Linked DNA regions of Rattus norvegicus. The protein of the gene in region 1 purifies or fractionates together with the protein of each later gene. This does not show direct contact. Links are inferred from orthologs where the notes say so. Each region holds a gene or a part of one and is shown in the gene's direction. Other genes may lie near its edges. The genes, in order: Dcp1a, Upf1, Pnrc1, Bag4 and Edc4.

The links.
Region 2: the proteins of Dcp1a (region 1) and Upf1 purify together in Homo sapiens (co-immunoprecipitation; 4 studies listed by BioGRID and IntAct, with this or other methods). This does not show direct contact. The link is inferred for Rattus norvegicus from reciprocal best matches to the Homo sapiens genes DCP1A and UPF1.
Region 3: the proteins of Dcp1a (region 1) and Pnrc1 purify together in Homo sapiens (affinity purification with mass spectrometry; 3 studies listed by BioGRID and IntAct, with this or other methods). This does not show direct contact. The link is inferred for Rattus norvegicus from reciprocal best matches to the Homo sapiens genes DCP1A and PNRC1.
Region 4: the proteins of Dcp1a (region 1) and Bag4 purify together in Homo sapiens (affinity purification with mass spectrometry; 4 studies listed by BioGRID and IntAct, counting the BioPlex papers as one, with this or other methods). This does not show direct contact. The link is inferred for Rattus norvegicus from reciprocal best matches to the Homo sapiens genes DCP1A and BAG4.
Region 5: the proteins of Dcp1a (region 1) and Edc4 purify together in Homo sapiens (co-immunoprecipitation; 9 studies listed by BioGRID and IntAct, with this or other methods). This does not show direct contact. The link is inferred for Rattus norvegicus from reciprocal best matches to the Homo sapiens genes DCP1A and EDC4.

What each region holds. Positions count from the first base shown.
Region 1 is NC_086034.1:5,660,662-5,666,906, forward strand, and holds the start of Dcp1a (mRNA-decapping enzyme 1A), read left to right. Parts: upstream 1-2,775; 5' UTR 2,776-2,800; coding exon 2,801-2,935; intron 2,936-5,007; coding exon 5,008-5,048; intron 5,049-6,245. UniProt on the Homo sapiens protein: Necessary for the degradation of mRNAs, both in normal mRNA turnover and in nonsense-mediated mRNA decay. Removes the 7-methyl guanine cap structure from mRNA molecules, yielding a 5'-phosphorylated mRNA fragment and 7m-GDP.
Region 2 is NC_086034.1:19,126,074-19,132,658, forward strand, and holds the end of Upf1 (UPF1, RNA helicase and ATPase), read left to right. Parts: coding exon 1-77; intron 78-1,154; coding exon 1,155-1,272; intron 1,273-1,533; coding exon 1,534-1,690; intron 1,691-2,193; coding exon 2,194-2,336; intron 2,337-2,688; coding exon 2,689-2,863; intron 2,864-2,964; coding exon 2,965-3,046; intron 3,047-3,499; coding exon 3,500-3,661; intron 3,662-3,738; coding exon 3,739-3,956; intron 3,957-4,124; coding exon 4,125-4,244; 3' UTR 4,245-4,247; exon of another isoform or gene 4,248-4,251; intron 4,252-4,365; 3' UTR 4,366-5,254; downstream 5,255-6,585. Other genes in the region: Gdf1 (embryonic growth/differentiation factor 1 precursor), read right to left, coding at 5,300-6,078, 6,498-6,585. UniProt on the Homo sapiens protein: RNA-dependent helicase required for nonsense-mediated decay (NMD) of aberrant mRNAs containing premature stop codons and modulates the expression level of normal mRNAs.
Region 3 is NC_086023.1:52,442,528-52,448,771, reverse strand, and holds Pnrc1 (proline-rich nuclear receptor coactivator 1), read left to right. Parts: upstream 1-2,280; 5' UTR 2,281-2,413; coding exon 2,414-2,863; intron 2,864-4,290; coding exon 4,291-4,734; 3' UTR 4,735-5,372; downstream 5,373-6,244. UniProt on the Homo sapiens protein: Nuclear receptor coactivator. May play a role in signal transduction.
Region 4 is NC_086034.1:73,003,947-73,009,741, forward strand, and holds the end of Bag4 (BAG family molecular chaperone regulator 4), read left to right. Parts: exon of another isoform or gene 1-829; coding exon 830-1,087; exon of another isoform or gene 1,088-1,099; intron 1,100-2,421; coding exon 2,422-2,673; intron 2,674-3,634; coding exon 3,635-4,120; 3' UTR 4,121-4,674; downstream 4,675-5,795. UniProt on the Homo sapiens protein: Inhibits the chaperone activity of HSP70/HSC70 by promoting substrate release. Prevents constitutive TNFRSF1A signaling. Negative regulator of PRKN translocation to damaged mitochondria.
Region 5 is NC_086037.1:50,685,902-50,691,696, forward strand, and holds part of Edc4 (enhancer of mRNA-decapping protein 4), read left to right. Parts: intron 1-1,567; coding exon 1,568-1,724; intron 1,725-2,104; coding exon 2,105-2,216; intron 2,217-2,489; coding exon 2,490-2,589; intron 2,590-2,790; coding exon 2,791-2,980; intron 2,981-3,087; coding exon 3,088-3,235; intron 3,236-3,316; coding exon 3,317-3,421; intron 3,422-3,719; coding exon 3,720-3,829; intron 3,830-3,919; coding exon 3,920-4,003; intron 4,004-4,084; coding exon 4,085-4,180; intron 4,181-4,262; coding exon 4,263-4,365; intron 4,366-4,482; coding exon 4,483-4,663; intron 4,664-4,759; coding exon 4,760-4,832; intron 4,833-4,929; coding exon 4,930-5,021; intron 5,022-5,096; coding exon 5,097-5,284; intron 5,285-5,363; coding exon 5,364-5,497; intron 5,498-5,574; coding exon 5,575-5,731; intron 5,732-5,795. UniProt on the Homo sapiens protein: In the process of mRNA degradation, seems to play a role in mRNA decapping. Component of a complex containing DCP2 and DCP1A which functions in decapping of ARE-containing mRNAs. Promotes complex formation between DCP1A and DCP2.

The sequences.
Region 1 (6,245 bases):
TAAACAAAACAAACAAACAAACAAACAAAAAACAGAAAAAGAGGAAGGAAGGTTGGATAAAAAGACAAACAGGAAGTAGAAGGGAGGGACACTCAGTTTGAAGGGGGTTTGTAGAGATATGAGAGAGAGACTTTGTTCTGGGATGTCAGCTGAAGAGGAAGGTCAGCTGGGTGTTTTCTCTGCCTCTCTGAACCATCTTCCAGCCCAGCAATCCGGCTCCTGAGTCTTCATTGGTAAAATCAAGCGATTGAGGTGTTGATAAAAACAGCTATCTGCCAAAACTAAAACAAAGGCCTAACCCATCAAAGTCCACAGAGTTCTGGCAAAGTCTCACAATGTACTAACCTGGCTTTTTAGCCTCCGTAGCTCTATCTGGCTAACTGCTCTTGTTACCTGAAGTGTGTCAACCCAGAACATGGTTTTTGTACTTAAAAGGTGACCCTGAGAAAGTTTCCGTGCTACACTGGGATCCCAAACACCCAGTGTAGTTGCCGGCCGACCAAAAAAGATTGGTTTTTTTATTGGCTTAAACCCATGTCTGAGCAGTCTTCTCTGATGGTTAACCCCACAACAGCTCAGCCATGAGGACCTGAGTGCAGATCTCAGCCCTCAGGTCCAGAGGCTCACGAATGCCTGTAACTTAAACTCCAGTGTGCCCATACACTCTCTTCTGGCCTCTGCACACTTACGTCAGCACAGACTTACACCGACACATGTACACATATAGAGACAAAATTTTAAATAACACACAAAAATTAGCATACAGAGGGAAAATGAAGGTACAGAAAGTGATGGGGTCCTACCCTCCACCACTGGGTGAAAGGCAGTCCAGATGTGGAACAAGGATCCCCAAGACTCTCATACCAGAATACTCCTCACTAGTGTGGAACTCTGAGCCATTCCCTTCTTCCCCTCCAGTCTGAATCAAATCAGCATTAAACACTAGGTTCCCACCTTGCCACTGGGCCATGAAGCAAACCTCAGCCCTTAACTTTACTTTCCCAAGGAGCACCTCCTCATCGAAAGCAGCAGTTCAAACCTCAGCACCTTCTTGAAGCCTTCCTACTGCCTTCAGAAGTTGGCTCAAGGCACCCCAAGACCATGTTCTCAGCACAGAGATTTATGTGCTCCAGGGGGAGAGAGAGCAGGGATAATGAACAAAGGCAGGAGATAGGAAGGCAAGGGGCTAAAAATTAAAGGGGTTGGGAGGAGAGGGGTAAGAGATGTTTGGGAAGGAGACAAAGGACTCTCTAGATATAGAGGAAATAGATGTGGTCCACGGGCAAATGGCAGTTTATAAAGATAAAAGGGGAAGCCCACGTTAGGATGATGTGTTTAATTTTAATTGGGCATGTTAATTAGCCAAAGGGGGCTTTTGATTGCTAGACTCCAATACTTTGATAGCCAGACCTTGGTAGTCAGCCTCAGGAGAAATTAATCTCTTATTAGGCTAAATTAAGGAACAGACCTTGGTGGCTAGTGTGAGGAATGCAATCTAACAGTCTTTAGCAAGGCAGAGGAAACTGGGGAGAAGGGCAAGGCCTGCCAGAGCCACGCCCACCATGCCGGAACTGGTTAAGAGTTCCTTCACTACCTTTCCTGGCTCAGACGGAAATAGACTCCACCCTCTGGAATTCAAAGAGAAATGTCTATCATGGGGTTATTTGCTTGCTTTTCGTTTCTCCTGGTGCCAAAAAGAGTTGGAAGCTTGGAACTGACAACCACTCTATAAGATCAATGAATGTGTACGTGAGCAAAGGGCGAACAAACCATAAGCTGTTCCGACTTCTTGCCTCACACGTGTTTCCGAACGGAAAGTCTGCCCTTCCATTAGCAAATGATCTTGGGATGTAAAACCACAAGCAACACAAATATATGGTGGTACTTTGATGGAAATGTAAAGTTTATCCTTTCAAAAACGTTCATTTGTGCCGAGATGTCCTCAATAAAGAAAAACGATGGTTTTTAAAGCAGCTCAATGAAAATAGGCTGAGCACGTTGTTTTACTTTGTAGTACCTGACCCCTTAGGATGCCCAATAATGTTGGCTTTTTAAGAGATCTACTTATTATTTAAGTAATAGGTCTTTCTATATTGCTTTTTTTTTCTTTTTTTCGGAGCTGGGGACCGAACCCAGGGCCTTGTGCTCGCTAGGCAAGCGCTCTACCGCTGAGCTAAATCCCCAACCCCGTAATAGGTCTTTCTAGAACAACAGAAATATTTATTTAGGACCCAGATGAAGGAAAAGACAAGCCAAAGAGGGGAAGCCGAGTACAGTGTAGTTCCAGGCAGGCTAGTTTGGCTGCTTTGAAACATTTCTTTCAAAAATTACCAAACAGTTAAGAGTGAAAGTGCAGCTCGGAAGTAAAGTACAGCTCCCTTTCCTCACTTGGTCTGAGTTTTCTCAATGGTCCATGAAAACCTCACTTCCACAGCAGCAAGCATTTCGATTCAGGGTATGTGCTGGGCTGCGGTCTCACTGGCAGGAGTCTGGAGCACTCAAGGAACAAGTTCAGATCCCGCCAGGTGAGAGAGGAGGACTCCGGAATGTCGGCTCGCCGAAGCTCCACCGCGCAGGCGCGGACGCCTGTACCTTCCGGCAGCCGCAGACCTAAAAAGATCGGAACCAGGCTCCCAGGGCATAGGAGCGGCGGATCAGATTAACTGAAGTACCACCCTCGGCAAGGCAGGTCGGATAGGCGGAAGTGGACGGCTGACTGAGCTGGGGGAACTTTGCCTGGATGGCACTTTCCTGTTCTCCAGTCCGCCCCCGCCCGAGGGGCTCGGCCTGGAGATCCAAGATGGAGTTGTTGAGTCGAGCTGAGCAAGAGATGAGTCTGGCGGCCTTGAAACAACACGACCCCTACATCACCAGCATCGCAGACCTCACGGGCCAGGTCGCCTTGTACACTTTCTGCCCCAAAGCCAACCAGTGGGTGAGTGAGGCCCAGCCGTGGAGAACGCCAGCCTGGCCGCTGCCGCCTCTTAAAGGGACCGCGCAGACAGCTTAGGATTGGGGGTGGGGTGTGGAGCAGAGTAGGACCGCAAAGGCGAGGCCCGAACCTCTCCCAAAGGTCCTTCCAGAGCCGAAGAGATGACGGGGGAAAGGGGAGGGACACGCGGAATTGGAGGAATGAAGGGTAGGAGTACACCAGAGACATAACAGGGAAATCAGATGGAGGACAGGAATGAGGCAGGATCAGTCTTTTTGGGGTCGGTTCTGGAGACTTGAGGTTGCATTGGCAGGATATGAGACAAGTTAATTTTTTTTTCTAACAAGTGATTGAAAACCTGTGTTTGAGACTTTGAAAACTATTAGATAAATCACGTGTTCTTGATTGCAAAATCCACTCCTCTTTCCCTGCCGACCTAAATGTGATGATTTGGATTTGAAGCTTAAAAATCAGTCTCAGGAGTTAGTCCAGCTTTAGCAGAACTGGTATCACCGGAGTTTAAAGAAAGATTTCAAGGCTACTTCAGTAAGAATTGGATTCCTTGGAGACGTTTTTACAAGAAAAAAAAAAAAAAAAGAGACCGGTGATAGGACGTTTGATCGCTCACTTCTTAGTTCTTTTTGGATTTTGTGAGTGGCATGGAGTTCCAGAAATTACATTCACTGACTTTAGTTAACCTCAACTTGAAGCACCTATTTACATGATGTCCTATTTCCTCCTGATGCTAGGCAGACACTGTACTGTTCCTCTACCACTGGGCTATATACCCAACCCAAGTTACAGTTTCTTAATCACATTTTCAGGCGTTTATTTTAAAAACCTACCACATTTGTCTAAGGCAGAGAATGGTTTCTATCCACGAGTCTTAACAAAGTTCTGAAAATATTAAATTGTGTTTGGTCACCACAAAATGTGTAACTCGTGAAAATAGTCCTAAATTCTCCAGAAATGAAACAGTATCTTAGAAGAAAACGTCCCGAGGGTTAGGGATTTAGCTCAGTGCTACACAGCTGTGCATCATGAGGCCCAGGCTCTGAGTTCAACCTGGTATCCCTTTTGAAGAAAGTTTCCATTCTTTTTCTATAAACCTCAATAGACTGCTCAAGTTTGGTTTGGTTTGGTTTTTGGTTTTTTTTTCCAAGTTTTTGGTTTTTTAAGTTGCAGTAGACAATACCTTGACTGGAGTATTAAGATACCTAGTTGAAAGGTTTTAGTGTTTGCAGAGAGAAGCTGGGGCAGAGAAATGGCTCAGTAGTAGCTAAGAGCATTTGGTGCTCTTCCCAAGGACCTGCCTCAATTTCCAGCATCCCCATGATGGTTCAGACCCATCTGTAACTCCAGTTCCAAGACGTCCAGTGCCCTCTCTAAGCTCCACGTACACACATACATGTGTTACAAAGAAATACGTATGCTGACAAAAGAGCCCTACATCTTTTCTAATTGAAAAAAAAATTTAATACATAAAATAAGTAAAGCTAAATCGCTTTTTTTTTCCCTTTAAATGTTCCTCACTGGCAAAAATAGACATGTGCTACAGATGTACACATATTGTTGGGTTGGACATACATAAACACAGGGGTGAACAGATACATAATTTGTTTAGATTTCTTTTAAAAAGTGAATTGCTTTACCTGTTCAAACGTGACTAATTTGGAGGCTAAAGAGACAGCTCAGTGGATGAAGTGCTTGCCTCCCCAGCTTGAGAACCTGAAGTATTCACACAGAAAGCTGGACGTAGTAGCTTGCACTTACGTGTCCTCTGGGGACATGGAGGCGCTTATGACACAACACTGGAGCTCACTGACCAGGAAGTGCAGCTAAATTGCCCATCTTCTGGCCAGTGAGACCCCCTGACTCAAAAGAAGGAATGACGCCTGAGAGTGACCGATGGCCTCTCCAGTTGTACACAAATGCCAGCGTGCATTCCCTTGAGCACATACACGATCGATTTCACAGTAAATAAGACAAGTTGGCCTGAACGTGTAGGTGCTTCACCAAGATCATTTGACCTTGGATTATTCCTGGAAAACTGACAGAGTCGTTGTCTGTTACAGGAGAAGACTGATATAGAAGGGACATTATTTGTATACCGAAGGTAAGTGGCTTAAGGATGTTTCTACTTCACTTGAATGGTGGTGATCGCTGTGGTGGAGCGTGGTCCGTTTCTATCGTGTATGTAGCTTTGGAGCCTTCCTGTTTATCTTCTTCCAGTTTTCCCCCACCCAAGCACTACAGTCCTACTACAGCTGCTGCTCTTCTTCCCATGTTAAAAAGAATGCATACGTACGAATGTCTGCGAATATAGTATAGTACAGTAGCTATAAAGTGATTGAGATAGCACTCTTGCCGGTCTGTAGTTTCTGATGAGAATTTGCCTTCTGTGGCTGGTTCTGCCCCTTTCCTGCCTCTTCCCAAAGTTCTAGGTCATTCCTAATTCATATACATTTTACTTTAAACTTCTCTGAAAATTCTTTTTTTTAAAGATTTATTTATTATATAGGAGTACACTGTAACTGTCTTCAGACACACCAGAAGTGGGCATCAGATCCCATTACAGATGGTTGTGAGCCACCATGAGTTCACCCTGGGATTTGAACACAGGGCCTCTGGAAGAGCAGTTAGTGCTCCTAACCACTAAGCCATCTCTCCAGCCCCGAAAATTAATTCTTTAAATGGTTGGTTTGTAAAGGTTGACAACTTTACCTTGTTTGGCAGCATAGGGGCCTCATCCTAGGTGGCCCACAGGATGAGACAAGTCATGAGACCCTTGTATTCCCAGGTACCCATAGCTCTTGGTGTTAGAGGCAAATCCCTTGCCTATTCTAGAACTTTGAGCGGTAGCAGCAAGGCTACAGACATTGGTTCTTTTTGTGCCGAGTTCTTTTTTGGACAGCCATCCTCCACTGGTACCACTTTATAAGAATGGAGTGTTATTGTAAATGTTAGTGTAGAACGTTGTGATCTTGTCTAAATACACTTTTTCCTTTAAATGGAAGTATTTCGAGGTTTGTATGACAAGCTCCTCTTTCTTTGATACTCTTTTCTCTACTTCATTTTTCTTCTCTAAAATAAAAAAGATCTAACTCCAACCTCTTCATTAACAATATAAGTCTCTAAGAACCCCTAACTATTATTAGAACAGTAGTGTCTGTATACTCAGGGATATTTATAGCTCTAATTTTAAGGAATAAGCATAATGTCTATAACATTTGGGGATATTTATAGGTCTAATTTTAGAAGAATAAAACAGATTGGAGAAAGTGGGAACTTCAGTATAGTGAGTAACTTCATT
Region 2 (6,585 bases), about 13 Mb from region 1:
CCGCATGCACCCTGCACTCAGCGCCTTCCCGTCCAACATCTTCTACGAGGGCTCGCTGCAGAATGGCGTCACTGCAGGTAACAGTTGGGTCATGACCTCACAGTCCTCCCTATGGCTGTCAAGGTGCTGTTGGAGTGTGGCTGCCCCACACACACACTGGCCATGCACAGCTGGTCTGTAGATGGGCCTGCCTGGGAGTTCTGGGGTTGCTGGGCCTTTCACCGTGGCCATCTCATGTACTGGCTCCACCCCTTGGCCATTGCTTTGTGTTGGACAGTTCCAGGATAGGCACCCTAGACAGAACTGAACCTCCCTGACAGCAGGGTTTTCTTGACAAACCATCAGTGATGAGACCAGGGAAGTAGATTGCGAGAGCCTGTCTTTGAGTTCAGCAGCTGGTGACGTCTATTACCTGTGGTAATTTGAAGCTCTGTGAACAGAGAATTTTAGGACACTAGGGTCACCTAAAACTATTTATGGCAGTGACCCCTTCAGGGTCTTTGCACAGTGTCTGTTGGGAGGACCTAGAGAGCCTGGGTAGTAGGCAGAGCGGTCTGTGGAGGCCACTGCCTATGGTGCTGTGCTATCAGCTCAGCCATAGCTACAGTGTCATACACACACCCTTGGAAGCTGTTTGTGGCTCAAAGCTGTCATGGCAGGTTGGTTCAGAAACAAAGTGGGCCTAGCTGTCCTCCATGAAGCCTGAGTGAAGTGGAATGAAAGGTTGCTATCTGACTTGCTTTGCAGCATAAAGGTGTTTTTCTTAAAATTTTTTTACCAGCTGGGCATGGCTCTCAGCTTTAATCCTAGGACTTAGGACCAGACAGGCAGGCTCTCTGGGAGGTCAGGGCCAGCCAGGACTGCGTGCTGAGAGCTGTGTCTCTGGTCTGCCACATGGATCCAAGTAGCCAGAGGTGGGGACAGCACCACTCTGCTGGACCTGCTATTCCCTCTGTGACTGCCGGAGTATGTGAGACTCCTGGTATTTCCTGGGCTCGGCCGCTCTTGGTCATTGCTTGCACAGGAAGTATCCTTGTGTCCCCAGTGGGCGACTATGTCTTAAACAGTGCTGACTCAGCCCTTTTGCTGCTCTCAGTGTGTGCACTTGAGCCCTGGGCTTCTTAGCAGTGACACCTTCTGTCTTTCCCTGACAGCCGATCGTGTCAAGAAAGGTTTTGACTTCCAGTGGCCACAGCCTGACAAGCCCATGTTCTTCTACGTGACACAGGGCCAGGAGGAGATTGCCAGCTCTGGCACATCCTACCTCAACAGGTGTGCAGCTGCGTCCCTGGTATGGAGCCCTGTTCTCACCCTGGGCTCCCAGACCCAAAACCCAGAGCATCTTACTTCTTGGGTGGTTCTGCTTGTTACAGCATGTGAGGGGAAGTCACAAGGCTCTTGTTTCTTCTGGAGCCTTGGCAAATGGCAGGGACGGGCAACTGTCATGTGGCCTCCTGTGCCCCTTTGGTTACTGGAGGTTTATCAGGCTGGGGACATGTAAGGAGCCTGTCACTGACAGCCAGATGTTCTCAGGACGGAGGCAGCCAATGTGGAGAAGATAACGACAAAGCTGCTGAAGGCAGGCGCGAAGCCTGACCAGATTGGCATCATCACTCCCTACGAGGGCCAGCGCTCCTACTTGGTGCAGTACATGCAGTTCAGCGGCTCCCTGCACACGAAGCTCTACCAGGTACCCCCAGACCCACTGACCCACAGGTCGGTGCCTTCAGCCACAGTAAGTGTATGCTGGAGACAAAATTAGAGTGTGGTGCTGTCTCAGCACCTTGGTCACACGAGCACAGGTTGGTCTCTATGAATTTGAAGTCAGCCTTGATTGTCAGCCTTAAGACAGCCAGGGCTGTTCAGTAAGGCTTTGTCTTGAAAAGAAAGCAGTCTAGGGACAGGACAGGAAGGGGCAGTCCCACCTGAAAGGCATGGTACTTGTACGTTGTCTGGGCGTGTGACAGATGCAGAGCGTTGGTTGGTTTTGTATTGGGGTTAGCATGGCCAAGGATTGACACCATAGCGCCTACTCAGTCTCTGCTTCACTGGGCCTGTGGTATCTCTGTCACTGGGGACCTGTAGCATCTGGCTGTACCATACTTAATGATGCAGCTCCTTCCTGTGCAGCTGAAGGAAGAGGCAGGAGAGCGAGGGGCCGGGCTGTGACTGACAAGACACTGTCTCATTCAGGAAGTGGAGATTGCAAGCGTGGATGCCTTCCAGGGCCGGGAGAAGGACTTCATCATCCTGTCCTGCGTGCGTGCCAATGAGCACCAGGGTATTGGGTTCTTAAACGACCCCCGGCGTCTCAATGTGGCTCTCACCAGAGCAAGGTAGGCCACAGCCCATTGCTCCCATCCACCCTCCACCCACAAGAAGACCCTCCCTATCATCCATTTTACCCATATCTGTCCTGGAAGTAGACGTGCATGCTGGAACCCCATCTTGAGGCCTACTTGCTACCCTACTGATTGAGGAACACAACTCCATGATCCTATAGGACACAGATTGAGCTCACAATCAGCATTTGGAGAGCTGAGAGTGCACTTAGAGTTCCCACTGCTCAGGCGCACCTCATGTGTTGTTTGGTTCTCAGCACCCAGCTGTTCACGTTCATGGTGCTAGCCCTGGACAGTGGGGTTGAGTGAGTATGGCCATGGGCTCAGTATGTCGGTTGCCCTGCAGGTACGGGGTGATCATCGTGGGTAACCCAAAGGCACTGTCGAAGCAGCCCCTGTGGAACCACCTGCTGAGCTACTACAAGGAGCAGAAGGCGCTGGTGGAAGGGCCGCTCAACAACCTGCGGGAGAGCCTCATGCAGTTCAGCAAGCCTCGCAAGCTTGTCAACACCGTCAATCCGGTGGGCCAAGGGGCTGGCCTGGGACCTGGGGAGGCTGGGAGCTCTGAGCTAACTCTGCTGCTGTTGACTGACACATTCCTCACTCTTGTGCCACCTTGCAGGGGGCCCGCTTCATGACTACTGCCATGTATGATGCCCGTGAGGCTATCATCCCCGGATCTGTCTATGACCGCAGCAGCCAGGGTGAGCCTTCCTGGCAAGCACCAGTCTGTTTACCTTCCCATGACCCAGTCCGAACCTGTCACCCCATGGGTGGCCTCCATCTGGAGCTTGTCAATAGGTGTCTAGCTTCTCCAACGAGGTTCCCAAGGGCTGTTCTGGCCTCTGCTGTTGGTTTGGAGCATGGTCTCTTGAAAACTGCCGGGACCTCCTGTCTGCATAGGCTGCCTGAGTGCTGCTGCCCCTGTCCACCTCAGCCAGGCTGGCCTCTGCTTTCTGGAAGCTTCTAAGTTGCCTAGAAAGCTCCATTGTGGCCAGATCCTCACCAACCCTTCTATGTTTCTTATTCTCTACCAGCACCCCGCATGTCACTCGACCTCCCTCTGCTCGCCTACTTGTCTGGCTGATGTAGTAGCTATAGTTCAGGGCAGCCAGTGTCCACTGGGGCCCTCCATCTGACTCCCAAGTGTTTTGCAGGCCGGCCCTCAAACATGTACTTCCAGACCCATGACCAGATTAGCATGATCAGCGCAGGTCCCAGCCATGTGGCTGCCATGAACATCCCCATTCCCTTCAACTTGGTCATGCCTCCCATGCCACCACCTGGGTACTTCGGACAGGCCAACGGGCCAGCTGCTGGTAAGTGCTTCTATCACTGCCCTGGCTCCTCTCCTAACTTTAGGTAGAACTTGCCATATTTCACTGCTGTCTTTTAGGTCGGGGCACCCCAAAAAGCAAGACTGGCCGTGGAGGCCGCCAGAAGAACCGCTTTGGGCTTCCTGGGCCCAGCCAGACTACCCTTCCCAACAGCCAGGCCAGCCAGGATGTGGCCTCACAGCCCTTTTCGCAGGGTGCCCTCACACAAGGTTATGTGTCCATGAGCCAGCCCTCTCAGATGAGCCAGCCTGGCCTCTCCCAGCCAGAATTGTCCCAGGTGGGCCTTCACCATTATACTGGGGGTGGGGGGTGGGGGGGGGAGACACACAGGACCATTATGCCTCCTTTCTGAAGGGTGAGTGACCCCACTGCTGTGGGTCTGAGGACTGGGTGGCTGTGGGCTAGTGGCTGCCCTGGCCATGTTCACACTGCCTTTGCCTTTCAGGACAGCTACCTCGGTGATGAGTTTAAATCACAGATTGACGTGGCACTCTCACAAGACTCCACATACCAGGGAGAGCGGGCATACCAGCACGGCGGGGTCACCGGGCTGTCCCAGTACTAGAAGGCAAGTGCCCTAGTGGGCAAACAAGGTCTTCCCAGCCAAACTGGGCCAGTAGATGTGGGGTGTTGGCAGGTCCTACCTCTGCTGGCTCTGACACCTCTCACCCTGTCCCTGATCACAGGTAGCGGCGGAAGAGCTAAGCTATGTGGCTTAGTCTATCAGCATCTTATTCTGGGTAATAAAAAATAAAAATAAATGGATACCTGTTTTCCACTGCTAAAACTGAAGCACCACTGTGTGAGCAGCCGAGGAGAGGAGAGGAGAGGAAAGAGGAGCAAGAGCGAGCAGAGAGCGGCCAGGGAGGACGACAGAGCGGAGCGCCGAGGAGCGGGCGCCCCCTGCGGGCGGCGAGAGGAGAGAGGCCCGCACCGCTGCGAGGCCGGCCCAGCGCCGTGCCCGCCAGAGGGAGAGGCCTCGCCAGGACCGGCCCCGCTGTTCTTTTTCTTTGTTTCTCGTGATTGAGGGGCTACGTTTTAGCAGGACGAACTTCGCGTTTCTGTGCCCAAGCGGGCGGCCAAGAGCATCAGCGCGCGGTCCCAGCGCTAAGGGGTTTCATTTAAAGAAAATACGGTGTTTGGGGTTTTTTCTCTTTTTTTTTTTTTTTCTTTTTTTTTTTTCCCCCTCAAAGATTCTTTCAAAGGAGTATGGGAAGTACTTGGATGAGTTTGTCTCTAAGACCCGACTGGTGGACCTGGGAGATGAGAGAAGCTTCCGGAGAGGCAGTGCTGAGAAGCCCGAGCCCCGCAGCCTGGGATCACCGCCAGGACCGCAGCAGGAGGGTTTTGAGTTGGAGCTTCAGAGGCTACAGGCGAACTCGTGAGCACGGCCCGCGGGTTCTTCCCCATCGTGGGTGGAGGCCTCATTGCTGGGCGCCCTGCCCCGGCCCCCCCACCTCCCGCGGCAGCCACCCAACCCCTACCCAGGCACACCTGCGCCAACGCAATGGAACTTAATTTTTGGTCAAATTTGTTTTAAGCTTTTTGTCACCAATAAAACATGAACAAACGGTCCCTGCTTTTCGCGTGGGGCCGTCCCTGAAAGGGTGTCCTGGGTGGTCAGCGACAGCCACACTCATCCACCACCATGTCCTCGTAGTGGCGCAGCACCACGTTGTCACTATTATCGAAGAAGAGCACGGAGATAGGCGACAGACGCTCTGGCACGCAGCAGGGCGAGCCTACACCCGGGGTGGGAGCAGCTGCGTGCATGAGCGCGCGCAGCACAGCGTGGTTAAGTGCAGGCGGCCCGCCGGGTCCCCTCAGTGTTTCAGGTAGCGCACACGTGCCCTGGCAGAAGTTGGCTAGAAAGCCCCGCGGCGCAATCACCCAGCGGTGCCAGCCCACCTCACGGAAGCTCACGTGCAACCGTCGGGTGCGACATGTGCCCACTGGACCACCTCCCACCCTGGGCTCCGTGTGGCGCCGTGACCGCGGCAAGGGACACAGGCGTGGGTCCAGCGTCACCAGCAGCAACGAGGCCTCAGCCAGGCGCCCACAGGTTGCAGCGGCCCCAGGGTGCAGCGCCAGCGCCAAGCGCAGAGTGCGCGGCACCGATGCGTTAGCCGCTACTGCAGTCCCCAGTAGGTCTGCGCGCAGTGGCAGCCCGGGTGGCGCCTGCACGCGCAGTAGCTCAGGCCCAGGATGCTCAGCCTCGGCCAACAGCGCCACGCTTAGCTCCCACCCTCGTGTATCTTCGCTCTCAGCCTCCAGCCGCAACTCTAGGCGCGCGCGTGTTGGGCGCTCTATGGGCTCCACGCTCGACAGGTCAAAGACGACGGTCCACTCGGGGCACAGCCCTGAGGTTCTGGCGGGCTGTATGATCCTGGAGGACAGACCTGGAGGTGCAAGGAGAGAGCGGACATGGCGCAATGCCCCAGCAAAGGGGCTGGGCTGAGACAAGGAGGAAGGGAAGCGCTGAGAGACAGGAGCCCCACTGACGGATGGGGTGGGGGCAGGGCACCCGCTGCAAGGAAGGGACACTGTGGGGCATCATGCCTACAGTTGCAGACATGGGCGGAAGGGGACGTGCCAGCCAGTACCTGGGGGCCCAAAATGACCTGAAGGAAGGCATCAAGGGATATGAAGTGGCGGGATGGGGGCAGGGCTGAGATGGGGCCCTGGGAAGCTGCCAGCATGTGTCCCATGATTTTAGAGAACTAGGAAAACAGGGTCCCAGCTTGCTACTAAGCTAGACAGGTCGCGTGAGGGACCCTCAGTCTCATGGACCCTTACCCAACCACAACCCCCTACTCACCGCTGTCGGGGATGTGGCGCACAATGTTTCCGGCAACCCCCAGTTCCTCCACGTGGCATGGTTTCAGAGGGCGCCCCACTCTGGCCTC
Region 3 (6,244 bases), on another chromosome or scaffold:
CCACGCTGGGCCAAATCTGTGTTTTTAAGGAAGGAAGTGCATATCTTAGCACTGAGGCCAGAGCCTTTCCAGAATGATGGCTCACACTTTTAACCAGAGCAGTAGGGAGGCCAAGGCAGGAAGATCTCCATGAGTTCAAGGCTAGTCTGGCTTACATAGTGAATTCTAGGCCAGGGAGGGCTGTATAGCAAGACTCTGCATAAAATAAAATTTAAAAAAATGTTTACTTAAATTGTTACTAGAAGCTTTGGGGTGTCACATGCTACGAGGGGGTTGAAAGGCATTAGACAGCTTCAGGGGAGAGTGAACAATCCCAGAGTGTCCAGGGAACCATGCTCATACCCAGGATCTGAGAGTAAAGGAGATGAAAAGGAAGTTACCAGAAGGTCGGTTCTCTACCTGTGGCAAGAGGTAGATTCCATTCTTTTGACCAGGAGATGACTTTCTCTCAACAGAGCCCAGATCAAGGGAACTGCAAAACTCCCATTTCAGAAGAGGTAACCCCAAAATCATTTACCTGAAAGGTTGAATACTCCCTACTTTTCTCAAAGCTAGAGACTTGATTTTAAATGTTTACCATTAAGAATTACTGTATGGGGCGCGGGGGGGGGCTGGAGAGATGGCTCAGCGGTTAAGAGCACCCGACTGCTCTTCCAGAGGTCATGAGTTCAATTCCCAGCAACCACATGGTGGCTCACACCCATCTGTAATGGGATCCGATGTCTGAAGACAGCTACAGTGTACTTATATACATAAAATAAATACATCTTTAAAAAAAATTACTGTATGGGCTGGGAGTGGCTTTTTAGGAAGAAATAAGAAGTCAGAGCTCCCTTCTAGGATCTCTAGTCTGAGAACAAAGACATTCCCTACTGCTGGTCAAAGACAAAGGAACCCCATTCCCAGTCTCTAAACCTCCTAGCTCATCCCCATCTTCTATTCTCATCAGAGGGTAACTTGTGGTTTTGGTTCTCTTTTAGGTGACTTATAGGGATGGGACTCAGACTGCCAGGTTTATGTTGCAAGTACTTTAATTACTCCCTGATCCATCTAGATGCCCCGCTCTTTTTATTATTTTCAGACAGAGTCTCATTAAGCTTCCCGTACTCCAACTCAGCCTCTCCAGGAGCTAGTGTTACAAGTCTTGATCTTGCCATACCTAGACTGGAGTTCAGATTCTTCTGCTAATTTTCTAATGATTTGTGTGTGATTCTTTAGTTTCTGAATGCCTTGATTACTGTAAAATGTTAAAAAAAGAAATTCCTGGACAGTGGCGGCACGAGCATTTAATCCCAGCACTAGGGAGGCAGAGGCAGGTGGATCTCTGTGTTCAAGGCCAGCCCAGTCTACAGATTGAGTAAAGAGAGGACAGCCTGGGCTACACAAAGAGAAACACCATCTCCAAGGGAAAAAAAAAAAAGAAAGAAAGAAATGAAATAAAACCCTAATCATTAAAGAACTATGTTTCAAACAAGATGAATTACAGAATTAGTTCTGAGGTCATACTTATTTGGTAACTTATTTAGTTCTTTTCTGTATTAAACTGTGAGGAGAGAGTTCTGTTAACCCAGTTAGCTAGCAAACTGTAGCAGAGCTGGTTTTCTAAGTACAAAGGCCAATTGGCTTGCAGTAGCATCAAGTATCAGGGGCAATGTGAGATCTTAAGGGCCTCCCAGATCTTTAACTATAAAAGCAGTAAGAATTTTAAGGCCCATTTTCGGGATTATAGAGCACTTTTGGTAAACTGAGGAATCCATCAATAAACCTTTTTTAATTTTCACCACCAGGGTTAACTGGCAGCATCAGAAAACTGAACGAGAAATCACATAGCCACACTTCAATGTAGGTTAAATGGAGGCAGATCTTCACCAGCGCTATGAAATAAATCCTTAGTTTTCTCCGAAATCTCTTAAATAATATGTTGAGCTGAAACTGAAAAACTACAAAGCAATCCTTTCTTGAGGTCAGCAGCTTCCTAGTTCCTCCACCGCCTCTCTCCTCCCTCCTCACTCGCCCCACCCCGAGGCCACCCCAAAGGATTGATGCAAGGGAGGTGAGGCCAAAGTCGAACTTCATTGTTCACGGGACACTCTCTCGAAGAGCCCGTTGGACGCGCCTGCGCAACGTGCGTTCTTTGTGAGGGGCTGCAGCAGGCTGCTTGTTTGTGTCTTGCCTCCGGGCGCGGAGGCGGGATCGAGGGAGTGGCCTGGCAGGCGCATTCGGATTGGACCGCCACAGAGAGGTGGACGGGTGCGGGGCGGGGCCTCGGGTAACAACACTAGCCGCGGTGGCCAGCGCTATTTGTTGCTGCGCCGCCTCGCCCGAGTCATGGTCCTTGCCCCGAACCTTCCAGCAGCAGCCTCCGCCGCCGCCCCGTGACGCCTGCTCCCCGTCGTCTGCCGAGCCCCGCGCCATGACTGTCGTCTCCGTTCCACAGCGAGATCTCGCTCTGGGCGGCCGCCTAGCGCCGCTTGGGTTCCTCGGGGCCCTCCCGATGGTGAGCCCGGCCCCGCCGCCCTTGCCGCGCCTTCCGGACCCGCGCGCTCTGCCACCCACCCTCTTCCTGCCGCACTTCCTCGGAGGGGACGGGCCGTGCCTGGCGCCCGCGCCTCGCACCGCTGCACCGTCCAGCTGCAGCTTGGTCCCGGCCGCTGCCCCACGGGCAGCGCCCAAGAAGCGGCGGAAGAAAAAGGTGCGGGCCAGCCCGGCCGGGCAGCTCCCAAGCCGCTTCCACCAGTTTCAGCAGCACCGGCCGAGCCTGGAGGGTGGCCGCAGCCCGGTGCCGGGGCCGATCGCAGCGCAGGAGGAGCGGGGTCCAGGGGCCACTGCCCTGCTATACAGACAGCCCCCACTCGCGAAGGAGGTAGGGCCGGTGGGGGCGGGGCGGCTGTTTACTCGGGAGGGAAGTTTCCGTGACGCTCGCTGGAGTCGTGGGGCGGAAGCAGGGAGGGGGAGGGGCTGGACTGCTGCGCTGGCTCCGCCCTCTGGCTCCGGAGCCAGCCAATGGGAGCAGCGGCTGTGGCCCAGCAACAGCCTGCATTTAGAAGGTTGGCGGCGATCCAGGGGGTTTCGGCGTTCGGGGCTCTGAGACCTGCGGAGGGCTGACGTCAGCCCGCTACGTGCGGCGCTCTGGGGCTCTCATGAAGGCGGTGCTGGGTGGGGGCGGAGGCGCAGGCGCCTTGCCCAGTAGGGCACCCGACCCGACCCACTCACGGCCTGACCCACTGAGTCTGACCCGGGATTTGGAAGTTGGCAAGAGTCTCAGTCTGATGCCCGACACTAGTGTTTCACAGTCCTTGTGCTGTGAGCGGTGCAGGCCGGCACGAGCTTTCCTCGCTGGAGGGGCTTCTAAGCAGTGCCCAGAATTGAGTTTTAGAAGTTATAAAATGGACATTGCAGTTAACTGATACGGATAAAATTTTGTCGGGGCTTAAAGGTTTGAGAGTTTTCTTACCAAAAACAAAACAAAACAAAACATCGTAACATACAATTTGAGGGATTCTTTGTTGATAATGACACAAAAAGCAGCCATTGTACTGAAATTGTACTTGATCAAGGTATGCCAATGGAGAGGAATAAAAATTTAGATCCTGAGGTGGTTTTTTTAGTTTTTCAGACAGGCGTTTGCATTACCTTGGAACTCACTGTGCATCGGAGAACATTGTTTTTTAAAGGCTACCGTTAGGGTGTGGATTTGTGTGACCTTGTACTTGCCTTCAGTTTTTGTGCAAGCGTTAGGGGGAGTGATCTAAGGGTAGAGTTTCCATCTGGTGCAAATTCTGTAGATTATACTTTTGGCTAGGAAAGTTACTAGGGTGCAAAAGTTTTTGGTCTGTTTGTTAGGAGTGGGGCTGAGTTTATAAGATTAACCAAGTAGCCCAGGCTGGCCTAGAATTTACCTTTCTGCGTCTGCCTTTACAGGCCTTTTGGTTGAGTTTAGAAGATTGTCCATGAGGTTGTTGAATCTCAAAGGCAGTCGAAAACGGTTTTTTCTAACCTATAGAGGACACTTGCTCCTTTCCGTTGTTTACAGTTAGAAAACATGGGGTTGGTTAGAGTTTTTAAAGCGATTTCTTACTGTATATAAGTTTAGTGTATGCTGTAATTAAGAGCATCAATTTCAATAGCAACTAAGAGGCATGCCATTTGGACATCCAGTAGCAAGCACAGCCTGCACGTAAGTATTTAGTTAAAACTGGATTCAATTCTAGAGGAACTTAAGAACAACTTGGCAAAATAGATCTAAAGATAATTTTTATCTTAAACTGTTCACTTTTGTGTTCTTTGTAGGTTTTAAAATCAAAGATGGGAAAATCGGAGAAAATTTCCCCTCCCCATAGCCAGCTTGTGCATGGTATACACTTGTGTGAACAACCAAAGATAAGCAGACAGAAAAGCAAATTTAACTTGCCACTAACCAAGATCACCTCTGCAAAAAGGAATGAAAATGACTTTTGGCAAGATTCCGCTTCCTCTGATAGAATGCAGAAGCAGGAAAAAAAGCCTCTGAAAAATACTGAGAACATTAAGAATAACCATTTGAAGAAATCAGCATTTCTAACAGAAGGGAGCCAAAAGGAAAATTACGCCGGAGCCAAGTTCAGCGACCCACCGTCCCCTAGTGTCCTCCCAAAGCCTCCGAGTCACTGGATGGGAAGTACCACTGAGAATCCCAGCCAGAGCCGGGAGCTGATGGCAGTGCACTTGAAAACGCTCCTCAAAGTGCAGACCTAGGCTCCAGTCTGCAGTGTGTATTAGACACAGATTCCCCCGCATCCTCGGACTGAAGGAAGTGGATACGGCAGTGGAAATTTGCCGTATCGCAGCATCCGACACAATGAGCTTATGTCACACAAGCAGCTTGTATTATATTTTGTATTTTGTAAATACTGTATACCATGTATTATGTGTATATTGTTCATACTTGAGAGGTACATTATAGTTTTGTTATGAAAGTATGTATTTTCCCTGCGGATGTGGTGGGTGTTTTGTATATATACAGTGGAGATATTTTAAGTGGGTGCTAAGGCACGTGGAAGACTGTTTATTTGCACAGGTACTGACATTTTTTTAAGAACAGCTGTCAAATCTCAAAAGTGAAGATCTAAATGTGAACAGTTTACCTAATGTACTACTGAAGCTTAAGTCTGGCACAATCACTGTAAACATGGAGTTTGTGTTTCTCTAAATTGACTTGACTTTTAATCTGTAATTACTAGAAAGCTTCCTATTTTTACCAAACTTGACTTCTGGATATCAGTATATTGCCATTATTGAAAAGATTTAAAACACCTCTAATTTTAAATACCAACAAAATTGGTTGTAATCAAATTTTAAATCAATAATAATAATTTGGCCTCCCCCCCCCTTTATGGTGGTCTTGGCTTTTTGTGTGTGACTGAATGAATGTGTAAGCAGGTGACTCTGTGGTTGGACTTGGAACATTTATCGTCTTTGTGCTAAAATAGCAATTATGCTATGAAGTTTAGATGTGCTTAATTATTTTTTTTTTCTTTTCTTTTTTTCAGAGCTGGGGACCGAACTCAGGGCCTTGCGCTTGCTAGGCAAGCGCTCTACCACTGAGCTAAATCCCCAACTCCATGCTTAATAATTATTAAGGTTAATAATTTAACCTACCTCTAAGAGAAAGAATTTCCCATCTTAGAAATGAATGTGAACACAGGTGAAGCTGGTTATTACAAAAAATTAAGACAGGATCTCGAGCTAGCTCAGCTGTGGAGTTGAGATAACCTAGAACTTCTGGTTCTGCCTCCAGTGCTGGGGTTGCTGGCATACACCACCACCCCTGGTTTAAGTGGTGCTGGGGATAAACAGGGCTCGGCATGCTCGGCAAGCAAGCACCGTGCCAACAGACAAGCTCTAGAGTACGTAATTCCTCGTCTTCATTGCCATTTGGAGATAATTATTTCTGATCTTGATCTTGTTTCCTGCTCCAAGCAGGGCTGGCACTTTTGTAATCTGTTTGCCTGAGGAACTGGGGTCACAGGCAAACTCTCACACCTGATTTAGGATCTCCTTTTGTGTGAAGTGTCACTGCTTGACTTCCATTATGTGCATGTGAGTACAGTGCCCATAATCTCTCACAGATGGCCACAGGCCGCTCTGATCTGGGTAGCCTGTCAATTGAGATCCCCTCAGATAACCTCCGGTGGCTGCTCCACCTCAACCTCCTCAAACAGAATCTCCCCCAAGTTCTGTCAACGACCTCCGGATGGCATAGAGG
Region 4 (5,795 bases), about 67 Mb from region 1:
TTAATCTTATTTGGAGCACTAAGCAGGATCTGGATATGAGCAATGTAATAGTCTGTGTAGGTGATTTAAGACCACAGGAAAACAGATTGGCATTGTATCTTGGAGGTGGCACACCTGTCTGACACACACAAGGCCCTGGGTTTAGTTCCCAGCACTGTTTAAAACAATAACCAAACTATAATAACCACAGTAGTAAACAGTATAGTGAAGAATTTCCCTGTTATCTGTTGTTGTCATCAGGAAAGCAGGGTGATTGCTTAGTTCAATATGACTGGGGTCATTTCTCGAACTCATCGTGATACTTATAGTAATGTAGTCACCATCTTTTGAACAAATTGTGTATCTGCTAAATCTTTTTTTGTTGTTGTTTTGTTATCTCAGTTTTTCCTAATAATCCTGCAAGGAAAGTTTTGGCCTTCATTTTCCTATTAGAGAAACTGAAGCTAAGAGTAACTAAATATAAACTATTAGAGAATGTTTCTGATTTTTTTCTTTCTATTATATGATTTTTTCCCCCTCTACCTTGTTCCCCAGGATTCCTAGAGTTGCCTTCTGTGAGCAAACGTTCTCCTCTTAGACATGTAGTTGTGAGTTAAATGTAAGAAAATGTTATCTGTCATCACAATATAGGCTTCCATCGATGTCCCATAACTTCAGTTTATAATCTGAGTTCAGTGCCTGGCGTGTGATATAGAGACTAGAGAAGAGAAAGAGCACCTCAGAGACTGCTTACTGACACCTTTACTTCCTAAAGTTTTCAAGGTTGAACATTAAGGGCATTTTAGCCCTTCAGCCCATTATCTTTTCCTCTCTGATTACCTTTTTTCAGAGTCTGAATTCTTACGCAAATGGAGCATATGGCCCACCTTACCCTCCTGGCCCTGCAACAGCAAGTGCTGCCTCTTACTCTGGGGCTTACTACGTACCTGGCTATGCTCAAGGCACTTACTCCACGGACATTCCTAGCACCTACCGTTCACCTGGTAACAGCCCGACTCCAGTGTCGCGTTGGATGTATCCCCAGCAGGACTGTCCGACAGAAGCGCCTCCTCTGCGGGGTCAGGTGCCGGGGTATCCTGCTTCACAGGTAAGCAGCCTCCTGGGAAGGAAAGAAAGCGCCTCTATTTCCTGAATTTCAAATAGTGGAAAGTTACCCATTTATACTAGTGCTGTTTAGGAAGACAAGTGGAGCCATGTACACTGTGTACACCTTCAACCCCAGTTTTCAGGAGGCAGAGGCAGGTGAAGCCCTTGTAGTCATGACCATTCAAGACTATGTAGTGTGACCTTGTCTCAAAAACAACAAAACAGAAAATACTGTAGTCATTCAGAGATTATTTGACAAATGGAGAAATGGAGTTTCTTTTATATTGATGCCTAAATGGATTTGGCTGAAGTGACCTTAAAAATGCCATAATTCTAACTCTTTTAAATCCTAACATTTTATTATTGTGTGCATGGTAGGAGTTGTGAGGGATGACATACATGTACCACAGGACAATTTTGTGGAGTGTGTTTTCTCTTCACTTTCTGTGGGTTCCATGGATCAAACTCAGGTCTCCAGACTTGCATAGCAAGTGCCTTTACCCACTGAGCCATCTCTCTGGCCCATAATTTATATTTTTTTCTGTTTGTTTTTTTCTTTTTCTTCTTTGAGACCAGGTCTTCGTATGTAGCCCTGGGCACCTGGACCTCCATGTACAGACCTAGTTGGCCTCAAACTCACAGCAAATTGCCTACCACTCACTCCTGAGTGCTGGGACTAGGGACATAATGCCACTACACCTGCTCCTCTTTTGTTCTCTCTTATTCTTATTATTTTTAATTCTATGCATACTCTCATGGCTGTGTTCATGTACATGAATGCGGGTACTCACAAGGCCGCAAGAGTGAGCATTCATGGAACTGGAGTGACAGGTTTGGGAACCACCTGCTATGGTATCTAGGACTTGAACTTGAGTCCTCTAGAAGAGCAGTATGTGCTCTTAACCACTGCCACATTTCTCCAGCCCCCATAAAGTTTGTAATAGATCTTTTGTTGCTGCTTGAAGCTTTCCCTGACTGAACCTTTCCTAACACTGTTGGATGTGTTACCGTGCTGTGAGTGTGCCGAGCGTATTTGTTGTTTGGAGAACACTCTGCTGTCTGCATGTTTACAGTGTGTGCATTCATTCATCTGTATGTTTTTGGAAAATACATGCTTCATCCAGTGAATTTGAAGACTAACTCATGAGTCTTTCACCAACTCTGTTCTTTGTGTTTTGGGAGCCAGGTTTTCTCAGGTGTGGAGAATTTTTGGTAACTGATTAATGAGTTACTAGCAGGTCAGGACCTCTCTGTGCTATTTTTATTACTTTTAAGCTTTGTTTTTTTAAGCAGTGATCAATGAGCATACCAGCACATTTGTTTTTCCCAATCTAGAACCCTGCAATGACCTTGCCCCATTATCCTTACGGAGATGGCAACCGCACTGTGCCACAGTCTGGAGCAACTGGACGACCACAAGATGATGCATGGGCTTCTAGTGCTTACGGGATGGGAGCCCGTTATCCCTGGCCTTCAGCTGCACCCTCAGCCCCCTCTGGGAACCTGTACATGACGGAAAGTGCTTCACCATGGCCCGGTAACAGTTCTCCTCAGCCACCTCCTTCACCTCCACCCCAACAGCCTAAGGTAGGAGGCCTTCCAAATGCAGTTCTTTTGATCTCTAGGCAATTAAGAGGATATAAGATGACACTTCTTTGGATTAGTCTATTAAATGCAAAAATGTTGGTCGTTGCTACCCTATGGCATTATGTTAGCTTAGATTGTTATACTTTTATAAATAGTATTATTTGGGGATTTTTTTATTTTTTAGGTTTTTATCTTTTTGTAATTTTTTCATTATTTTTATGTGTATGAATATATTGGCTGCCTCTGTTTATGCTATGTAATTTTTCATTATTTTTATGTGTATGGTATACTGGCTGCCTCTGTCTATGGGCCACATGTGTACTCGGTGCCCTTGGAGGCCAGAACCCCTGGAACTTGAGTTACAGACAATGATGACCTACCTTGTAGCTACTGACAATCAAATCTGGGGTCCTGGGGAGAGCGGCCAATGCTCTTACCTGCTGGCCATCTCTCCAGCACCGTATCTTTTTTTAAAAAAAAGACAGGAAAATGCTTCTTTTCTACTGTGATACTATCTGAATATTAAGTAGAATCAAGGGATTATTTTACAGCCTCATGATTTGCAGCAGGAGGGAAAACAATGTGAAATAGCACACATTGGCTTGTGTGCTGGCTTTACCTAAGCCACAGACACACTTTCTGCTTTTGCCTATGCTCTGCAAGCTTTTACTATTTGAGGGAAACTAATGATGAATTGTGAGTAGTAAGATGGGCTGGGGGTGTTCCCAAGAATGACTTGTACTGGGTAGATTCCAACTGTCACATTTATGAATTCTGTGCCTGTTGCTTGAAAGGACTCTCCTGTCATCTTCTGACAGTGCTGACCTCTGATGGTTACTTAGGAGCCAGTTTTGTGGGAATCTTTTCAAGTACTGTCCTGGTTGGTAAAAGATGTGTACTAACATCTGATGTTGATAGCTTCCATGAAAACAGCTTTCTTTTTTCTGTCTTCCATTCCAAGGACTCCTCATATTCCTATAGCCAATCGGGTCAAGGCATGAACCGGCACAGCTTTCCTTGCAGCGTCCGTCAGTATGAATCTCCGGGAGCAGTGAACAATGATGAATCAGACCTTTTGGATTCTCAAGTCCAATATAGTGCTGAGCCGCAGTTGTATGGGAATACCAGCAGTGAGCATCCAAGCAACCAAGTTCCCAGTAATAATCTCCCTGAAGAGTGTTTCTCTTCAGATGAAGGCACTCCTCCAAGTATTAAAAAAATCATACATGTGCTGGAGAAGGTCCAGTATCTTGAGCAAGAAGTAGAGGAGTTTGTGGGGAAAAAGACAGACAAAGCCTACTGGCTTCTGGAAGAAATGCTGACAAAGGAACTGTTAGAACTGGATTCTGTTGAAACTGGGGGCCAGGACTCTGTGCGTCAGGCCAGGAAAGAAGCTGTTTGTAAGATCCAGGCCATACTGGAAAAGTTAGAAAAAAAGGGATTATGAAATAATTCGGAATGCAGCGGAAGCCTGTTAATGATTTGGCCAAAGAACTCTTTAATTTGGTTAGTTCCCATCTTTTGAAATGCCTGTTGTGACAAGAAGCAACACATTCCAACTTTCTTCTGAGCTAAAACTTGAAAGGAAAAAGAACTGGAAAAGCCAGCAGAGGAATGGAATTGCAGCAGTGACAAGATTCTTTTCAGTTTTCAGATGACTGCACATAATAGGAAACTGGAATTATCAGTATTGCCAAGTAGACCTACTTCTTACGAAACCCACTGATGTCTGGAGGCTGCTGCTTATCAGGTCGCAGGAGGGAGATAGACTTATGTAACAGGTTGTCAAAAACCGGATCTGAGACAAGCAGGCTGTTTTGTAAGCATCTGGACTGTCACATTTTTGTGCATTGTGACTGCATATACTTCATGTGTATATTATAGCCTAGACTCTTGGACCTCTGTTCTGTTTTCTTACCAGCAGGTCACAGATGTAATACTATTCTACTTCTTCGTACATTTTGTAGTAATATGTTTAATATAATCAAATATTGGCAGCCAGATAGGTGAGCAGTTCTGAATGAATTCATATCCTTTTACCACTTGAATATATTGCAGTGTGTAGTGGGCTCCTAAAGTCATTTGTCCCCCTTCCTGTGTAGCATGTTACGTTACGTTCTTCCCACTTCTGCTTTTCATGATGGGGAAGGTGACTCTGAAAATTACATTAACATAAGAATGACAATGTTTGCCACATTCTTTGCTTTGTTGTATTTGGATAAAGATCTCTGAAATTGCTTTTTTAAGAAAAATATCTTTTGGCTATTACTGCTTCTATAAAGAGCCTTATGATAAAAAAGTGGAAACTTAAATGCCACAGTTAGTATAAATAGTGACTGCAAAAAAGTAACAAATATGATTATTTAATAACACTGGTCTCCATTCGGTAGGTCTGTGGGACAGATCTGAGCTCAGTGTGTAGCTGATAGAAGGAAAAGGAGGAGATTCATGCTCAGGGAATGAGTCAGCCTTAGCTGAAGTGGAAAATTAATACTTTTAATTTAAATTTGGTCTTTATTTTGTAGGATAAATTGCATAGAATTGCCTGTTTCATAAGAAAGATGTTTATCATTAATAATAGTCAATTTAGAGCTGAGTTTAAGAAAAGGGGCCTTTTTTGGTTATCTGTGTATGTTATACAGAGACAGGTAAATAATTTACCCTTTAAGCCTAAAGTGAGATCTAGCATACAGTATCCACTTTCGCAACAAAGGCAGTTTCTTAGTAAAATATCAAGGTGATGCTTTCTTCTAGACTAGCCGGCCTTTATGTTAGTGATACTAAGCATACAGCCATCCTTCTACTCACAAGAAGCAAACCGATGCCAACATACGATGAGAAGAAATGTAGTAAGAATATTGTCTAGGGGCTGGAGGTGTGGCTCCGTTAGTAGAGTGTTTGCCTACCGTACATGAAGTCCTAGGCTAATCCCCAGTGTTGTATAAACAAGTGTACATACCTGGCTCAGCACTTGGGAGGTGAACACAAGAAGGCGGCAAGTTTAAGGTCATCCTTGGCTACATAATAAATTCAAGGCTAGCCTGAGCCAAGTAAGATCCTGTCTCCAAAAACAAACAGAATAAGTGATTCAAGAAGTGATCATTTTATACCAGGAGTCTGTA
Region 5 (5,795 bases), on another chromosome or scaffold:
CAGCACTTGGGAGGCAGAGGCAGAGGCAGGAGAATTGTCAGCTACCTCGGGCTCTATGTTGAAGCCCAATTTCAATAAATAAGAAAATAAATAACTACATAAATGGAGACATAGCTTAGTGGTAGAGCAGTTGTCTAGCATGTGCAAAGAAAGCCCTGAGTTTCATCCCTAGTCCTACCTCCTCTCCCCAAACAACAGAAACCCACCTAGCATGCAAGGGATGTCCAGGACTCAATCCTCAGCATTAAGGAGTGGGACCAGCTATTTCAAACATCTAAAATAATGTCATTCCTAATTCCACATCCTACCACATGCCCATAGCTTCTCTCCTCTTTCTTTGTCTAGTTCCCCATGTGCCTTTCTTTCTGAGTTTAACCTGCCCAAGTTGACTTGTTAACTAATTCAGTGTGTCAGACCCCTCCTTTCTTTGTATTAGGAACCGTTCTCCACAAACTCCTACTGTGTTTGAATTCTGGTATCTCGCACAGACTCTCAGCTGTTCTGTATGCTGCCTTGTAACAGTCAGTCCACTGGCTGCAGCTGAATGTATAAAACGTAAAACCCTTGTAGAGCCAAGTGTGCTAGCATGTACTTGTAATTCCAACACTTAGGAGGCATAAGCAAAAAGTCCTCAACTTCAAAGCCATCTGACTACACAGGAAGACCCTGTCTCAAAAAAGAGAGGGAGTGGCGAGCCTCTTTGGCTCTCATTGCACAGAAAGAGAGGCTAAACAACCTAGCCTCATCCCAGAGGCATTGTCAACCTCTACCCTTACCATGTTTTGTTTCTGGGTTGTTTGGTTTTTTTGTTTTGTTGTAGATTTACTTATTCTATTGTTTGTGTGTTTTGCCTGCATATATGTATGTGTACTACATGTGGGCTTGGGGCCTGAGGAGATCAGAAGAAGGTACCACGTCCCTTGGAATTGGAATTAAAGATTGATGTGAACCACCATGTGGGTGCTGAGAGCAGCAATTGCTGCTTAAACACTGCCATTTCTCTGACTTCTTTCTGTTTTGTTTTGGGACAGGATTTTATATGTAGTCTAGACTGGCCTGAATTTCATACATAAGCCTAGCATCTCCCTGAACTCACAGTCTTTCTGTCTCATCCTCTCAAATGATGAGGTGCCACAACACCCAGCATTTCCCATGTGTGTGTTGTAGATATAATTTGCTATGATATCTTGATTGTCCTCATACCCTCCTTCAAATCAAGTTTGTTTGCTGTTCTTAGCCCAAATATTAACTGGCCTAGTTTTGTTTTTTGATGCTAAAGATCAAACCAAGGGCCTCACATATACTAAATAAGCAGGCAACATGCCACCACTGAGCTGTGGTTCTGGCTCCAAGGTCTTGCTGGTTTGTAACCTTCCCACAGGTAGATGAGTCTCATACTCATCCCTGGTCCTGCTATATAACCACACTTACAGAATGAAGAATGAACAAAGGGCCCTCCTCCCTACTGGACATAACAAATGCTCCTGAGTGCTTTGTGGTTTAGAGTTGTAGAAGAAGCTCATGGCAGGCAAAGCAACCTTTTCACAGTGTTGTTTTCTTTTCCTAGGCTCCAATGTCGAAAGCCAAAGGCCATCCAGTGCCTACAATGGAGACCTCAATGGGCTCCTGGTCCCAGATCCGCTCAGTTCAGGAGATGGTAACTCGACAAGCAAACCTGGTATACGGACCATGCCACCCATTAATCTGCAGGAAAAGCAGGTCATGTGAGTACCTGAGAAATAGTAATGATGATAATGATATCTTTGCGGATTTCACTTAGCTATAGAGATAAGATTAAGGTCAAATGGGCAAGCAGCCTTTGCTTCCTCTCTTCTGGATGATCTGGGGCACAGCACTATACCTCACTAAATATATACTAAGAAAAGATATGAGGACAGGCTAAAGACTTGGCCTGGATGCCTAGTGTAGAATGGGATTAACCTCATTTGCCAGAAGGGAGGTGAGCAAGGGGAACTGTATATGGAAACCAGGCAGAACTGGGAAGCTGGGACTAGACATCTTCATCAGGTCACTATGACCTTAGCACCCTCTACTGAGCCTTTTGAGGAACAAGGGACTTACTTGGTTTATGGACCTCTTCCAGTTGCCTCTCTGGAGATGACAGCTCCACGTGCATTGGGATTTTGGCCAAGGAGGTAGAAATTGTGGCCAGCAGTGATTCTAGCATTTCCAGCAAGGCGCGAGGGAGCAACAAGGTGAGTACCAGGATTTTGTGGCATATGTACTATATAGTAGCACACTCAGCGTCTCTCTTCTCTCATGCATGCTGGCAATTCCTATGGGAACCACTTTGATAAAGAGTCTACCTTATTTTCAGAAAATCAGTGTTGACTCCCAAACCTCTGAGGAAGTCTGTTCTGGGAGATGTCAGTGGGTGTTAGGTTTGTACCTGTGGACCTGTCCTGCCCTTGGGATTGTTAACTACTCCAGCCCTCAGCTTCTTCAGCTTCCTTACTCTGAACCCTCAGGTGAAAATCCAGCCTGTAGCCAAGTATGACTGGGAGCAGAAATACTACTATGGCAACCTGATTGCAGTGTCTAACTCCTTCTTGGCATACGCCATCAGGGGTAAGTAAGAACATGGAGCAAGAAGGAAGTGTCTGCTACAAACCCCAGAGATGCAGATGTACTCAGATGCTAGCGTACAGTAGAGGTTTGTCCCAGGGCTGAGGGAGCTGGTCAGGAAAACCAGACTCAGGACTGTGGTGATAGTAAGTGGCAAGCAAGGACGGGGCACTCGTTCACAATCCTCTGCTTTTCTGCTTCCAGCTGCCAACAATGGCTCAGCCATGGTCCGAGTGATCAGTGTGAGCACTTCGGAGCGGACCCTGCTCAAGGGCTTCACAGGCAGTGTGGCTGACCTTGCATTTGCACACCTCAACTCTCCACAGCTTGCCTGCCTGGACGAGGCCGGCGATCTCTTTGTGTGGCGACTGGCTCTGGTTAAGGGCAAAATTCAGTATCCATTCCCAGGCAAGGGGGCTGAAAAAGCAGAGCTGGGCCTAGGGCTGGGGCTGCTGAGGGTTACATCATCATCTACCTATGTAGCCTTAACTCTCTACTCAGAGAAGAGATCTTAGTCCATATCCGGCAACCAGAGGGCACACCACTGAACCACTTCCGAAGGATCATCTGGTGCCCTTTCATCCCTGAGGAAAGCGAGGACTGTTGTGAGGAGAGTAGCCCAACGGTGGCCCTGCTGCATGAAGACCGGGTGAGAGGACTGGCTATGGTGAAGGAAGGATCAGAACTGCCATACTGGGCACATGGACTAAATACCTCCCTATACCCCTAGGCTGAGGTGTGGGACTTGGATATGCTTCGCTCCAGCCACAGCACATGGCCTGTGGATGTCAGCCAAATCAAGCAGGGCTTTATCGTGGTAAAAGGCCATAGCACGGTAGGTCTACAACATATCGCCTCCCTGCCTTTCCCTATTCCCACAGCTGCCCCAGGGGCTTTACCAGTGTGTTCCCTTGGGGATGTTGAAGACAACCTGGCTCTCACTTGGACAATTGATTCCTAATCTAGCTGTGCCCTGCAAGTCTGGTTTTCTCTTTAGCACCTACCCGCTTCATTCAGTCACACAGAAATGAGGCCGCTGTTGGTTGGCCCTGTTCACTACTATCGTCATTGAGGTAGGGCTCGTTCTTACCCCTGGTCAGGAGGCAAAGCAAAGCTTTTTGGGTTCTTTGCAGTGCCTAAGTGAAGGAGCCCTTTCCCCTGATGGGACTGTGCTGGCCACCGCAAGCCATGATGGCTTTGTCAAGTTCTGGCAGATCTATATTGAAGGTCAGGATGAGCCAAGGTAAGGCAAGACTTGAAAGACACTAGTGTCTGCCCTATTTAGAAAGAGGGACAGATCATTCACTCAGACTGTTCACCTGTCTGCCTGCAGGTGTCTGCATGAATGGAAACCTCATGATGGGCGGCCTCTTTCTTGCCTCCTGTTCTGTGATAACCATAAGAAACAGGATCCTGAGTGAGTGAGTGGAGAGGCAAGTAGGTGGGCTTTTCTGTGGGCTTCTAGCTGGTAACCAGTCAGTGCCTTGGTGATTCTCAGGGTCCCATTCTGGAGGTTCCTCATTACTGGCGCTGACCAGAATCGAGAGCTGAAGATGTGGTGCACAGTGTCCTGGACCTGCCTGCAAACCATTCGGTAAACTAGAGTGAGGGAGATAGGCCAGGGACGTAGTCCTTTGAATTCTCAGCCTTACTTGGTCTGCTTGTTGGCTCCCTAGCTTCTCCCCAGATATCTTCAGTTCAGTGAGTGTGCCTCCCAGTCTCAAAGTTTGCTTGGACCTCTCAGCAGAATATTTGATTCTTAGTGATGTGCAACGAAAGGTAGGCTGCTGTGGTGGTACATTGGAAAGAGCTGGTGTTGCTGGGAAGGGCAGGGCTATGTGATGTAGTCACAGCCCTTACAGCCTCAGTTGAGTTAGCAGTGTGTTACTCATGCAGGTCCTCTATGTGATGGAGCTGCTGCAGAACCAGGACGAGGGCCGTGCTTGCTTCAGTTCCATCTCTGAGTTCCTGCTCACCCACCCTGTGCTGAGCTTTGGCATCCAGGTTGTGAGTCGCTGCCGGCTGCGGCACACTGAGGTGCTGCCTGCTGAGGAGGAGAGTGACAGTCTGGGGACTGGTGAGGTGCCCTGGGGTAAGGGCTATATGTTGGTATGTGGGAAGTGTCCATGCACAGAGCAGGCCAATGCCTTAATGATCCACACTGTCCTTTCAGAGAGTTCCCATGGAGCTGGTACCTTGGAATCTGCAGCTGGTGTGCTTATCAAGCTCTTTTGTGTGCACACTAAGTGAGTGTGTCAGGGAGGCCTGCCATGTCCTGCCTATGTCCCCCTACCCTACTGGCCCTGGCCTTTTGAGTATTCTCTTCTCCCCTTTGTTCTTTAGGGCACTCCAAGATGTGCAGATCCGCTTCCAGCCACAGCTGAACCCTGATGTGGTGGCCCCACTCTCTACCCACACTGCTCATGAGGACTTCAGTGAGTAAGGGAACAGAAGGGAGACTGGTTCCACTGATGTGGCCTTGAGATCTGACTTAGCAGCTTTTCCAACAGCATTTGGAGAGTCTCGACCTGAACTAGGCTCTGAGGGGCTAGCTTCAGCTCCTCATGGTTCCCAGCCTGACCTCCGACGCATTGTGGAGCTGCCTGCACCTGCAGACTTCCTCAGTCTGAGCAGTGAGACCAAGCCTAAGTTGATGACACCTGATGCTTTCATGACACCTACCGCCTCCCTGCAGCAGGTACTTACTTCCTTCGTGGAGAGAGGTCTGGTAATGTCCCATTAGCTAACCTTAGCACTCATTTTCTGGCTCTTCCCAGATCTCTGCATCCCCTAGTAGTAGCAGCAGCAGTAGCAGCAGCAGCAGTAGCAGCAGCAGCAGTAGCAGCAGCAGCTCTCTAACAGCTGTGTCTGCTGTGAGCAGCTCCTCAGCCATGGACCCCTCCTTGCCCAGGTAAAATAAAAATCAGAATTGGGTCTTGTGCCCAACTGTGACGAATTACAGTTGCTAATGCCGTGCCTTTCTGCCAGTAGGCCACCCGAGGAACTGACCTTGAGCCCCAAACTGCAGCTAGATGGCAGCCTGACTATAAGCAGCAGCAGCAGCCTGCAGGCAAGCCCTCGGAGCCTTCTTCCGGGCCTGCTCCCAGGCCCAGCTGACAAACTAATTCCCAAGGGACCTGGTCAGGTAGGTGGGGGTTGGGGGATAAGGGGAGAATATGAATGCGTATAAAGTACTAGGTAGCAAGTGG